Caenorhabditis elegans: one gene and its partner. The protein of the gene in region 1 interacts with the protein of each later gene in a pairwise test. Each region holds a gene or a part of one and is shown in the gene's direction. Other genes may lie near its edges.

The links.
Region 2: the proteins of mthf-1 (region 1) and pbs-6 interact in a two-hybrid assay, tested with the Caenorhabditis elegans proteins (3 studies listed by BioGRID).

Annotation. Positions count from the first base shown.
Region 1 is NC_003280.10:7,773,238-7,779,885, reverse strand, and holds mthf-1 (putative methylenetetrahydrofolate reductase (NADPH)), read left to right. Parts: upstream 1-2,062; 5' UTR 2,063-2,136; coding exon 2,137-2,219; intron 2,220-3,380; exon of another isoform or gene 3,381-3,515; coding exon of another isoform or gene 3,516-3,535; intron 3,536-3,589; coding exon 3,590-3,664; intron 3,665-3,714; coding exon 3,715-4,087; intron 4,088-4,144; coding exon 4,145-4,882; intron 4,883-4,929; coding exon 4,930-5,343; intron 5,344-5,392; coding exon 5,393-5,547; intron 5,548-5,591; coding exon 5,592-5,745; 3' UTR 5,746-5,978; downstream 5,979-6,648. Other genes in the region: snpc-1.1 (snRNA-activating protein complex subunit 1), read left to right, coding at 1-241, 295-490; C06A8.6 (U2A'/phosphoprotein 32 family A C-terminal domain-containing protein), read right to left, coding at 6,021-6,122, 6,173-6,331, 6,388-6,570, 6,620-6,648.
Region 2 is NC_003281.10:8,242,589-8,246,273, reverse strand, and holds pbs-6 (Proteasome subunit beta type-1), read left to right. Parts: upstream 1-2,181; coding exon 2,182-2,447; intron 2,448-2,492; coding exon 2,493-2,886; intron 2,887-2,934; coding exon 2,935-3,051; 3' UTR 3,052-3,152; downstream 3,153-3,685. Other genes in the region: putative GTP-binding protein C02F5.3, read right to left, coding at 1-383; cids-1 (CID domain-containing protein 1), read right to left, coding at 650-748, 797-944, 997-1,241, 1,289-1,472, 1,515-1,648, 1,692-1,829; Putative zinc finger protein C02F5.12, read left to right, coding at 3,405-3,488. UniProt on the Caenorhabditis elegans protein: Non-catalytic component of the proteasome, a multicatalytic proteinase complex which is characterized by its ability to cleave peptides with Arg, Phe, Tyr, Leu, and Glu adjacent to the leaving group at neutral or slightly basic pH.

The DNA of each region.
Region 1 (6,648 bases):
CAACAGTTAATCCTGAAGAGTTATTAGACGATAATGCATTGGCTGAAGAAGTTCTACGAAATGAGTATGCTGCCAGAATAAAGCCTGAAATACCTGAAGATTCATTGGGCGGTAAAGTAGGCAAGCAGGGAACATCGGGAGTTGCAAGAATTCGGGCACCAAAACGTGCAAATGCGAAATTGGTTGAAGTGAAACGAGAACAAATCCCACAAACTTCTGCTCCGATAACTGCTTCCCAAATGTAAGTGAAGATTTTTGTTTTTTTCTTCAATTAAAAATTATTAAATTATTCAGTGACGAATCATTCACATCGCCTGCGAACAAGAAGAACAGAAAATCGGCCAGCGTAGTTGAAGTGAAACCTCGAATCAGTGATGAATGGGCCAACAAACTGCACGCATGGCATGGACAAGTCGAGGCTACGGATAAACATTTGAAAAAGTTGACAAGTCAAATTAAGCTGGAAGTTATTGAAGACGAAGAAACATAATCATTTCATTTTCCTTGCTAACCATTTTTTTTAATGAAAATTATACTACATGAATTTTTTTTTTGAAAATTAAATTAAATTTGCTGCTGAGTTGCCTATCATCTCCGACTTTTGTTATTTTATTAATCTCTGTTGGTTCAATCTTTTCAATCTTATACTTTTATCTGTCCAACTTCCAATTATCACCAGTGATAAATCGCCGCAAAAGACCAATTGAAATGGCCTGATATCGTGCATTACATGATTATTTCATACAGTTATCATCTTGTGCTGTAGCCCATTCGTGAAAGCATTGAGTGCACTTTTCAGAATCTTGTTGTAGTTCTACTGAAAATTGGTTTTAATCCTATAGGATAAAATTTTCGTTTGTGATGGGAAGGCAGTATTGAGAAATTGTGGTTTTCGTTTGAAAACGTACTATGCTAAAGTTCTCTTCAAATGACGATTAGTTCAAGGTCTTGCTTAGTTTCCCATTCTTTCTTGAGATACTATCAAATAGTAACTATCTACGACTTTCTTACTTATCCTTTTTTTCTAGAACGCATCCGTATTTTCTCAGTTACTCTTGCACCAAATAACTTATATGACTGCAGATATCAGAAAATATTTAATATGTTATAAAAACTACAAAAAAAAAATTTTGTTTTGAGAAAACAACAGAATTTTCAAAGTTGAATAATAGAGCAAATACCTAAATGCTAAATTTCGCTGTTTAAAAATTACGGTACCCGGTCTCGAAACGGCCAATAATTTTCAGTGAAAGGAGAGGAGTGCGGTTTTAAGGAGTACCGTTGTTCAATTTTTCTTAGTTTTCACACTCACTGTTTATTAAAAATTGAAGCTTAAAAAACAGGAAACGATAAAAAACTAAGAAATCAGCAAACTGCTGAAACTACTGTACTCTTTAAAGGCGTACACTTGTTTTTGTTGACATATTTTTAATCGTGTCAGGTACCGTACAACATGGCACTGGCATCTCCATATAAACATCACTGCATAAGACAAACAAAGAGAAGTTCCACGTTGAACTATTTGGCAAATTTTTGGCAAAACATTATTGTTGTTGCCCCGATAACAACCCAACCAAATCGTTCACAGGTCATCATGCACCAAAATATTGTTAATACTCATTTGTTATCAAATTAAAAGACTTCCCCACTCACTTTTTCTGCTTCAAATACCGCTATTTTCAAAAAATGTTTCGATTTATCTTTTTTGTCTTTTGTAAGAATCCGATTTCTATGAAGGAATCGGCGCCCCGCTGAGAATGTGTATTGCTTCATGTATGCAAAAGTGCACTGAGTGCCACGACGAACGCTTTAGTGAGAGAACGAGAGACCCAGCATGCTATGTTCCTTCTATATAAATATTGAACAAAACAAGTGGTTTTATGCCAGAAGCACGTTTGTTTCTCATTTTCTTGTCATTTTTGCTTAGATTAAGAACATTTAGCGGACATTGATAGTTCTATGACTTCTCTTTTTTCCAATTTACCAACCGTTTGCCACCTTAACGCTCCGCCCTTTTCTCTGATTGTATAAAAGAATCGGACTTAATACGAGCAAATTTCAGTCGGTGAATCTCATCAAACAACGGATTCGTGGTTCCCGACAGAGAATAACTACGGTTAAAACGAACCAAGGAAAATGACGAATACTGGAGAAACTAAAGTTATTGAATCTCATGGAACCATTAAGAAGATCGATTCTCTGTCCACAATGCCATATTGGTAGGTTCTTTATATTAATCTTCTAAACTTAGAGCATCTTTTTATGTCTCAAAATGCTTTTAAAAAAAGCACTGAAATATGCCTCCTTTCTACCAATTCTACCTACTTGACCTCTATCTTATCAGAAGACATGTCTACCACCCATTTGTCCCACTGCGATCACAAACTGATCTCTTATCAGTGTCAACTGTTGGATACCATTGATATTCACGTGATTTGGGCATTTTTATATTGTTGAGAGTGAAAACCTTTCAAAAAAAAAATACAATTTCTGTTCAATTTCAAGAACTTGAAATTTTCAAAAAAAAAGCACGCTGATTATGGCTAAAGTTAGAATGTTTAGTTAAAAAAAAAGAAACATATGAGAAAATGCAGAAAATGACCTGAAAGTTGCCAATTACCGAAAAACAAAGCTTGATAATTCGACAATCGGCAATTTGCAACTTCCAAGTAATTTTTAAGCACTTTTTCAAAATTATCATCCGAAGTAAACTATATTTACAGCTAAATCGATTGATTTCCTATATTTTAAAACTAATTTTTAACGAAAAATGTCGGAGAAACATGGTGCATTTATATACTAGAATTGTCCAAAATATTTGCAAGTTGCAACCTTTTGAATCACAAATAGTATTTTTTTCAAAAATGAGCTAATTGACTTTTAGAAACATAGTAATTACTTATCGTTGCTAATGATTTCATCTCTTATCACCCCACAATATCTTATCAATGAAGGTGAACACGGCAGAGTACAAAACGTGTCTATTATCAGAAAAAAGTTTGTTAGTCCTCTGCGACACATTATTCTCTCTGCACTCGGAAAAGATCGAATACTGATCTATCAAATTTAAATCTAACCGTGTTTTCTTGCCTTCTAGGAGACAATTTGATCAGTATCTCTCTATTAAGTGGAACAAAAGACACCAAGCAAGAAATTTCCAAGGAAAAATACAGGGAAATAATTTATTCGATCCGAAATTTCAAACAAGAAAAAGCTAATATATCATTGATGATAGTGAATTATTATTTCGATGTAGCACTGTATTAGTTCAACATCAGCTTTTTGTTTTCCGAAGTTCTGAAAAATTTGAAAAAAAGTACTTTCCTACTGTGTCAGTATCAAAGAACAAGTTGTCCAAATCATAATTGTTACGTTCCTAGATCTCTCCCGAGATTCATATCGAATCACATGATGATTCTGGAGAAGATATATAACACTCCGCCCTTAGAATCCTGTTTGCCACATTTCTTCATTTGTCGCTAACAAATTTTGTTTCCTCGGAGACTCTAGTTGAAATGGCCGTTTTAAGTAAAAAGTGGGTTGTTGATTCAGGTTTTTTGATCGAATAATATAATATTTTGAATTTCAGTGGTGTTGAGACCGATGAGAATGCGGTTGTCGAGGAGAAGATAACTCTGGAATCTGGAAAGAGCTGGTCACCAAAGTAAGTTTTGATCAGATATAAAGCTATTACTAAACAAATTTATATTTCAGGCATTATGAACTTCTTCACGAGAGAATTGAACGTCTTATCGATGAGAAACAACAATTCTTCTCTCTTGAATTCTTCCCACCTCGATTTGTCAATGGAGTTCCAAACTTCTTAGAGCGTGTTGAACGTCTTTCCGAAGGTGGATCCGTCTTTGTCGATATGACATGGCATATGGGAAGTGATCCAGCTAACGTCGATAAAGTGACTTCATCGTCTTCGATTGCTGCTTCAATGCTTGATTATTGTGGAGTCGACACTATGTTGCATATGACTTGTGTTCAATACAATAAAGCTGATACTTTGAAACATCTCGAGCAAGCCAAGGCAATGGGATTGAGAAGTATTCTTGCTTTGAGAGGAGATCTCCCACCGGGCGTAAGTTAATCATGAAACAAGATTGTCAAAAAATTAAATAATATTTTTCAATTTTAGACTGAGCTCGAAGATACCCATCAATTCCGTGCACTTGATATGATCCGCTGGATCCGCGAAGAATATGGAAACTACTTCTCAATTGGTTGCGCAGGATATCCTCTTGGACATCCACAAGCTCCGTCTTACAAAGCTGATCTTATGTACTTGAAGGCAAAATGTGATGCTGGAGCAAACTTCGTCATTACTCAATTATTCTTTGAGGCTGAAACTTTCGAAAAGTTTGTGCGCGACTGCCGTGAAATTGGAATCACTCAGCCAATTATTCCGGGAATCATGCCAATTATGGGTTATGAGTCTATCAAACGTATTGCCAAACTCTCACAACTTGAGATTCCACAACATATTCTTGATGATCTCGAACCAATCAAGCACGATGATGATGCTGTTCAAAAGTACGGAACAGAGCGTTGCATTGAAATGTGCCGCCGTCTTCTTGACAATGGAACTGCCCCTTCCATCCATCTATACACTATGAATCGTGAAGGAAGTATTCGTGAAATTCTCAAATCTCTTGGTCTCTGGAAACTCGAGGGTGATCGTGTTTTCCCATGGAAAAATCGTTCGCAACATCCTATCAGATGTCTGGAAAGTGTTCGTCCAATTTACTGGAGTTTCCGCCCACGCAGTTACATCACCAGAACTCGTGATTGGGATCAATTCCCTAACGGAAGATGGGGAAACAGTTCATCGCCAGCATTTGGAGATGTCAGCAGCTACTACTTGTCTAATTTGACGGTTCGTTCAAAGATTGTGTTAGAACTTTCTCACAGATAAAATTTCAGACTGTTCGAAACGCCGATGACCGTCTAGCTATGTTCGGAGCCAACATCGAGAGTTTTGAAGACGTCAAGCGCGTGTTCATCAACTACATTACTCAAGCTCCAAACGCCGATGGCGTCAAGGTTACTGTACTTCCATGGACAGAAGCTGAAACTGGTGTTCAGCCAGAAACTTCATTGATCAGTGAACAACTTGTTTGGTGTAATGAGAATGGAATTCTGACCGTCAACAGTCAGCCATCAGTTAATGGAGCTCCATCCACTGATCCACTTGTTGGGTGGGGAAAACCAGGAGGTTACTGCTACCAAAAGGCATACCTCGAATGCTTCATGACCGCGGAGTTGTCCGACAAGCTCATTCAAATCATCGAGAGAGAATTCCCAGTCAGAGTTAACTACCATGCCATCAATAAGGATGTATGTTTAAAAAGTAATTTTAAAAACCATAAAATAAATTCTTCTTCAGAGTACCTTCGACAAGACCAACAGCGAAGAAACCACTCCGATTGCAGTTACTTGGGGAGTATTCCCAGGATCTGAGATTGCCCAGCCAACAGTCGTCGATCCACTCTCTTTCCGCGCATGGAGAGATGAAGCTTACCAAATGTGGATGGCCCAATGGTAAGGTATCTAATCACTCGTTCTGTCTAATTGTTTAATTTTAGGGGAGATTTTTATCCAAAAGAATCTAAATCATATGGAGTCATCAAGGCTGTTCATGATGAGTTCCGTTTGGTTACTCTCGTCGACAACGACTTCCAGAAGCCATCAGTTCTTTTCGACGTACTTCAAAAGGCCCTCGACGAGCTGAAAAAGTAAAAATCATCAAACTAATTTGACTTTTTGACACGTCTGATTTCAATTCATTCAATTTTCCACCACGATATTCACTTCCGTTGATGAAATACACCATTGGTTGGGACACTTCCCCTTATTCTCTATTACCAGTATTACCCTATTAAGTTTTAGCTTCAACAACCCCCGATTCAAAATCGCTCCCTCTTTTATTTTATTTATTTCCGGCTTCCTTGTTTAATAAAATATCAATAATCAAGAAATCTTCATCTAGTTGAATAAATGCTAAAGTTCAAGTATTAGACGGACTCAGTGGGATGATCATCAGACGGATTATCAAGTACAACACGCGAAAGCTCTGTCTCATTCTTCTCTTCTTTTGGTGGACGGAGCATCGAATGCTGAAATTAAAAAACAAATTGAAGATTAATTTAATTAAGTTTTAAATTACCTCACGGCACTGAGTTCCATCAAGACGAGTAATTTGTTGCAAGAGATGAATAACCTTTCCACGATAAGTATCCACTGATGCAATTGGATTGAAATCGAGGTAAACACTATTGAGTTGTGGAAGTTCAACCAATTCATCCATAATGCTCCAGTTATCCAACTAAAATTAACAAAGAATTGATTAGTTATGGAATGTAATCAAATGATCTATATTACCTTATTTCCTCTTGCCCAAAAGTCTGTAAGTGTCTTCAATTGATGGATATTCTCGACCTTCTCAAGACGATTCTGATTGAAATCCAGAATTTCAAGAGGAAGATGCTCATCGATTCCACAAACGTACTTGATGCCATTTTGAGCCAGATAAATCTCTTTCAAGTTGTGAAGTCCCGAAATGTTCTGAAATTTTGTTTTATAAGTGGTATTTAGAAAGAAGAAATAACTATACATCAACTACAGTAATCGCATTGGCTGGAA
Region 2 (3,685 bases), on another chromosome or scaffold:
CCTTTTCCCTGAGAAGCTCCTTCAATGATTCCAGGAAGATCGAGCAATTGAATATTGGCTCCGTTGTAAGAGATGACACCAGGAATGCACGTAAGAGTTGTGAATTCATATCCAGCAGCTTCTGAGTGAGTGGAAGTCATTGAGGACAATAGAGTCGATTTTCCGACGGAAGGAAATCCAACCATTGCAACTCTCGCATCTCCACTTTTCATTACATCGAATCCTTCTCCTTTGGCACCTCCTTTGCCTGTTGGTTCTAACAATTGTTGACGATATTTTGCCAACTTTGCTTTTAGAAGACCCAAATGGTATTCAGTGGCTTTATTCTTTTGGGTTCTTGAAATTTCATGTTCGATTTCTGCAATTTTCTCCAGAATACCCATCTGTAAAATATCAGCTTTTAAACAATTAATTTCAAACTTTCAGAGATAAACACTGGTTAAGAACCGTTTTCAGATAATAGAACTAACTTGAATTTTAGAAAAAATAAATTCATTTAAGGTGGTTCAGAAGAAAAACGTATAAAGCACTTATGTGGTAATGGTGATCACGATTGTAAAAGATCAAAGTGAACAAAAATTATACAACAATGGGGGTACAGTAAAAGCTACTGAGATCGTAAAGTTATAATTATGACGTAGTATGATACTTATTTTTTCCTCTTCTCGAACAAAGCTTCAAGTGTTGGCAATGGTGCATTTGGCATCTCAGCAGCCAAATCTGGCAACGATTCGAATGTTTTTTCAACCTGAAATTCAATTCAAGTCTGCAAAAACTGATTTTCTAGTTTTCAAACCTCTAACAAATCTGCCTTGATTCGATCTTCTCTACGCTTAACTTCTCTGCACAATTTCTCGTGATGTTCAATGCTCATTCTAACATTTTCTATAAGCATATTCAAGTTCGATTCGAGAGTTTCGCGTTCATTTGTCTCGTTTTTCAGCCTGAAAGCATAAGTTAATGTACAAAATCAATTCACAAAAGTTTCAATCAAACCTTTTAACATATTCCTCCAGCATCGGAAGAGCTTCTTCATTTTGGACCAACAGAGACTGTGCTTCTTGCGAACTTCGAACTGACTGCAACTTTTCTGGGCACGAAATATTATCCGGATATTTTGAAAGTTCTGTGCGAATTTCTCTTTCCGTGCTCGGCGGGTTTTGAAGGCGCTTCAAACTGAGCAAAACATCTTGTGCATTCTTTTTCGCTTCTTCAACGACGAACTGACTAGGTTGAGCGACCTTAAGCTCATTTTGGCATTCTTTTGGAATTTATTAAATTCACACACCTTTCCATGTTCCTTGTTCGCAACTGCGGGTGTTGGGAAGCTTCCAGATAGCTTAACTTGTTGATGAACTTCATGAAGCCGTTTGCATTGTGATGGAGTGAATATCTGACGATCTTTCCATACATTGATCAGTTTACCAATTGCATGTTCCACTTCTTTTGCATTTTTCAACTCGATTGCATGCCTGAAATTAATTTTGAGATTAGACGTTTGAAAATGCCAATACCTGAAAGAACTTTCTATTGCGGGAAAAAATTCGTCCTTGAATTGTGGGCAAGTCTTTCTCGCATTTTGGCTTACATCATTCGCCACATAAAGAAGATTTACAATTTTTGAGCCGTGTGTTTCTTTCTTTACTGTCTGAAATACAACACTAAAAAATGATACAATATGAATAAAATACCTTTAGCCAAACTCGAATGATCAATTCCCGATTGCTATGATTTTGCAAAAGCCAGGCAGAAGTCGTCTGAATTGAGGAAGGGTGGTTTGATAAATTTGTTAACTTCTGTCGCAAAGTTTGCTCTGTGAAATCTGCCATCTGAAATATCAATTATTGAAAAAAAGAAATCACAAAAATTTTAATCAGAAATGTAGATAAAGCGATGAATTGTCCTCAAAAATACCTTGGAAAAATGAATTTTCATTCAAAAAAGAGAGGAAAACGCGTTTCAATAAATTTCAGCAAAGTGTCGTATAGTTCGATGTGCGATGTGCATTTGAACGCGCAGAAAACTGCGGACTAAACATTGTAAATGACGATGTCTCTCATTGTCAGCATTTCCTGTTATGTTGAATTCTCAAATTTCGAGCATTTGTTTTCTGTATTAATTGAATTTTGTCATATTGAATATTTATATTGTTTCAACTAAATAAGTATACGCCTTTTTCAGATGACAAGCTTCACTGGAATCACGGCTGTCGCCAACGCCACCAATGAAATGGCAATGTTCAAGCAGGCAATGAAGGAAGTTGCAGCTCATCCAGAGTGGATGAGTTCCAGACAAATTGAGCGTCAACGCTGGAACCCGTATTCAATGGAGGGAGGATCAACCTGTGCCATTTCTGGGGAGAACTTTGCCATCGTGGCAAGTGATACTAGAATGACCCAAAACGACATCAACATTCTTACACGTGACGCAGAGAAGATTCAAATTTTGTAAGCCAGTATTTGTCTTTGTTTTAATAATAATTCTTAATTCAGGAATGATAACATCATCCTCACCACCTCTGGATTCTATGGAGATGTCCTCCAATTGAAGAAAGTTCTCCAATCTCGTCTCCACAAGTACCGCTTCGATTATCGCTCTGACATGTCTGTGGATCTTTGCGCAGAACTTCTCTCCCGCAACCTCTATTACCGTCGGTTCTTCCCATACTACACTGGAGCTATTCTTGCCGGAATTGACGAGCACGGAAAAGGGGCCGTGTTCAGTTACGACCCAATCGGATGTATCGAGCGTCTTGGATACTCAGCCAGTGGAGCCGCTGAACCAATGATCATTCCATTCTTGGATTGTCAAATCGGGCACGTTACGCTCTCTGAAGGATATGAGCGTCCGGAACTCACATTGGACAGAGCCATCTCATTGATGAAGGTATAATTGAATTTCGTAATTTTAACCTAATTCATTTATTTTTTCTAGGATTCGTTCCGTGGTGCTGCTGAGCGTGAAATCTCTACTGGAGACAAAATTCACTTGGTCATCGCTGAAGCCGGAAAGCCAGTCGTCGTAAAGTTCCTGCCACTTCGTGAGGATTAATTATTGCAGTATCTATCTCATTTTATTTTAACTTATTCGTATCCTCTTCCCCTCTGAAATTGTTTTACCATCCCGGTAATCTGATAAATATTCCTCCACTTATATGTTGTAGTCTACAACATGACTACATTTCGGCGTCCAACGCAAACTACAAAATAGAGAGAAAAATGCAGAGAGCGAAAACACACAGGGCAAGAACGCACGAGTGAGACACAAGATATAATGCAAAAGAAGGAGTGAGTCGGCGCTGCTTAGAACCGTCTGCGTTTCGAGTCTCTTACTTTGTGGTCTGCCCAGCTGTGTCATTGATTCATTCCTGCTTTGCAACTCGACAAGTTGGTATTTACTGAAAAATGTCAACTTATATTCAAGTTAACATCTACAATCAAACTTTGGAAGTTCTCAAAATGCGAGGACTCGATTTGCAATCTATTTTGGTAGGTCAAGCTTTTGGCAACATTTAGCTTCTAATTATATAAATATTCCCGAGATTAGAAAAACTTGAGTAATAATTATTTTGGCAATAAAAATAATATGACAGGTTATTCTTTATGTAATGGTCGATCAAAAATCATAAATACTGTATTTTATAAAATTGTAATTTTGGAATGATATTACTGTAGGAAACAACTCT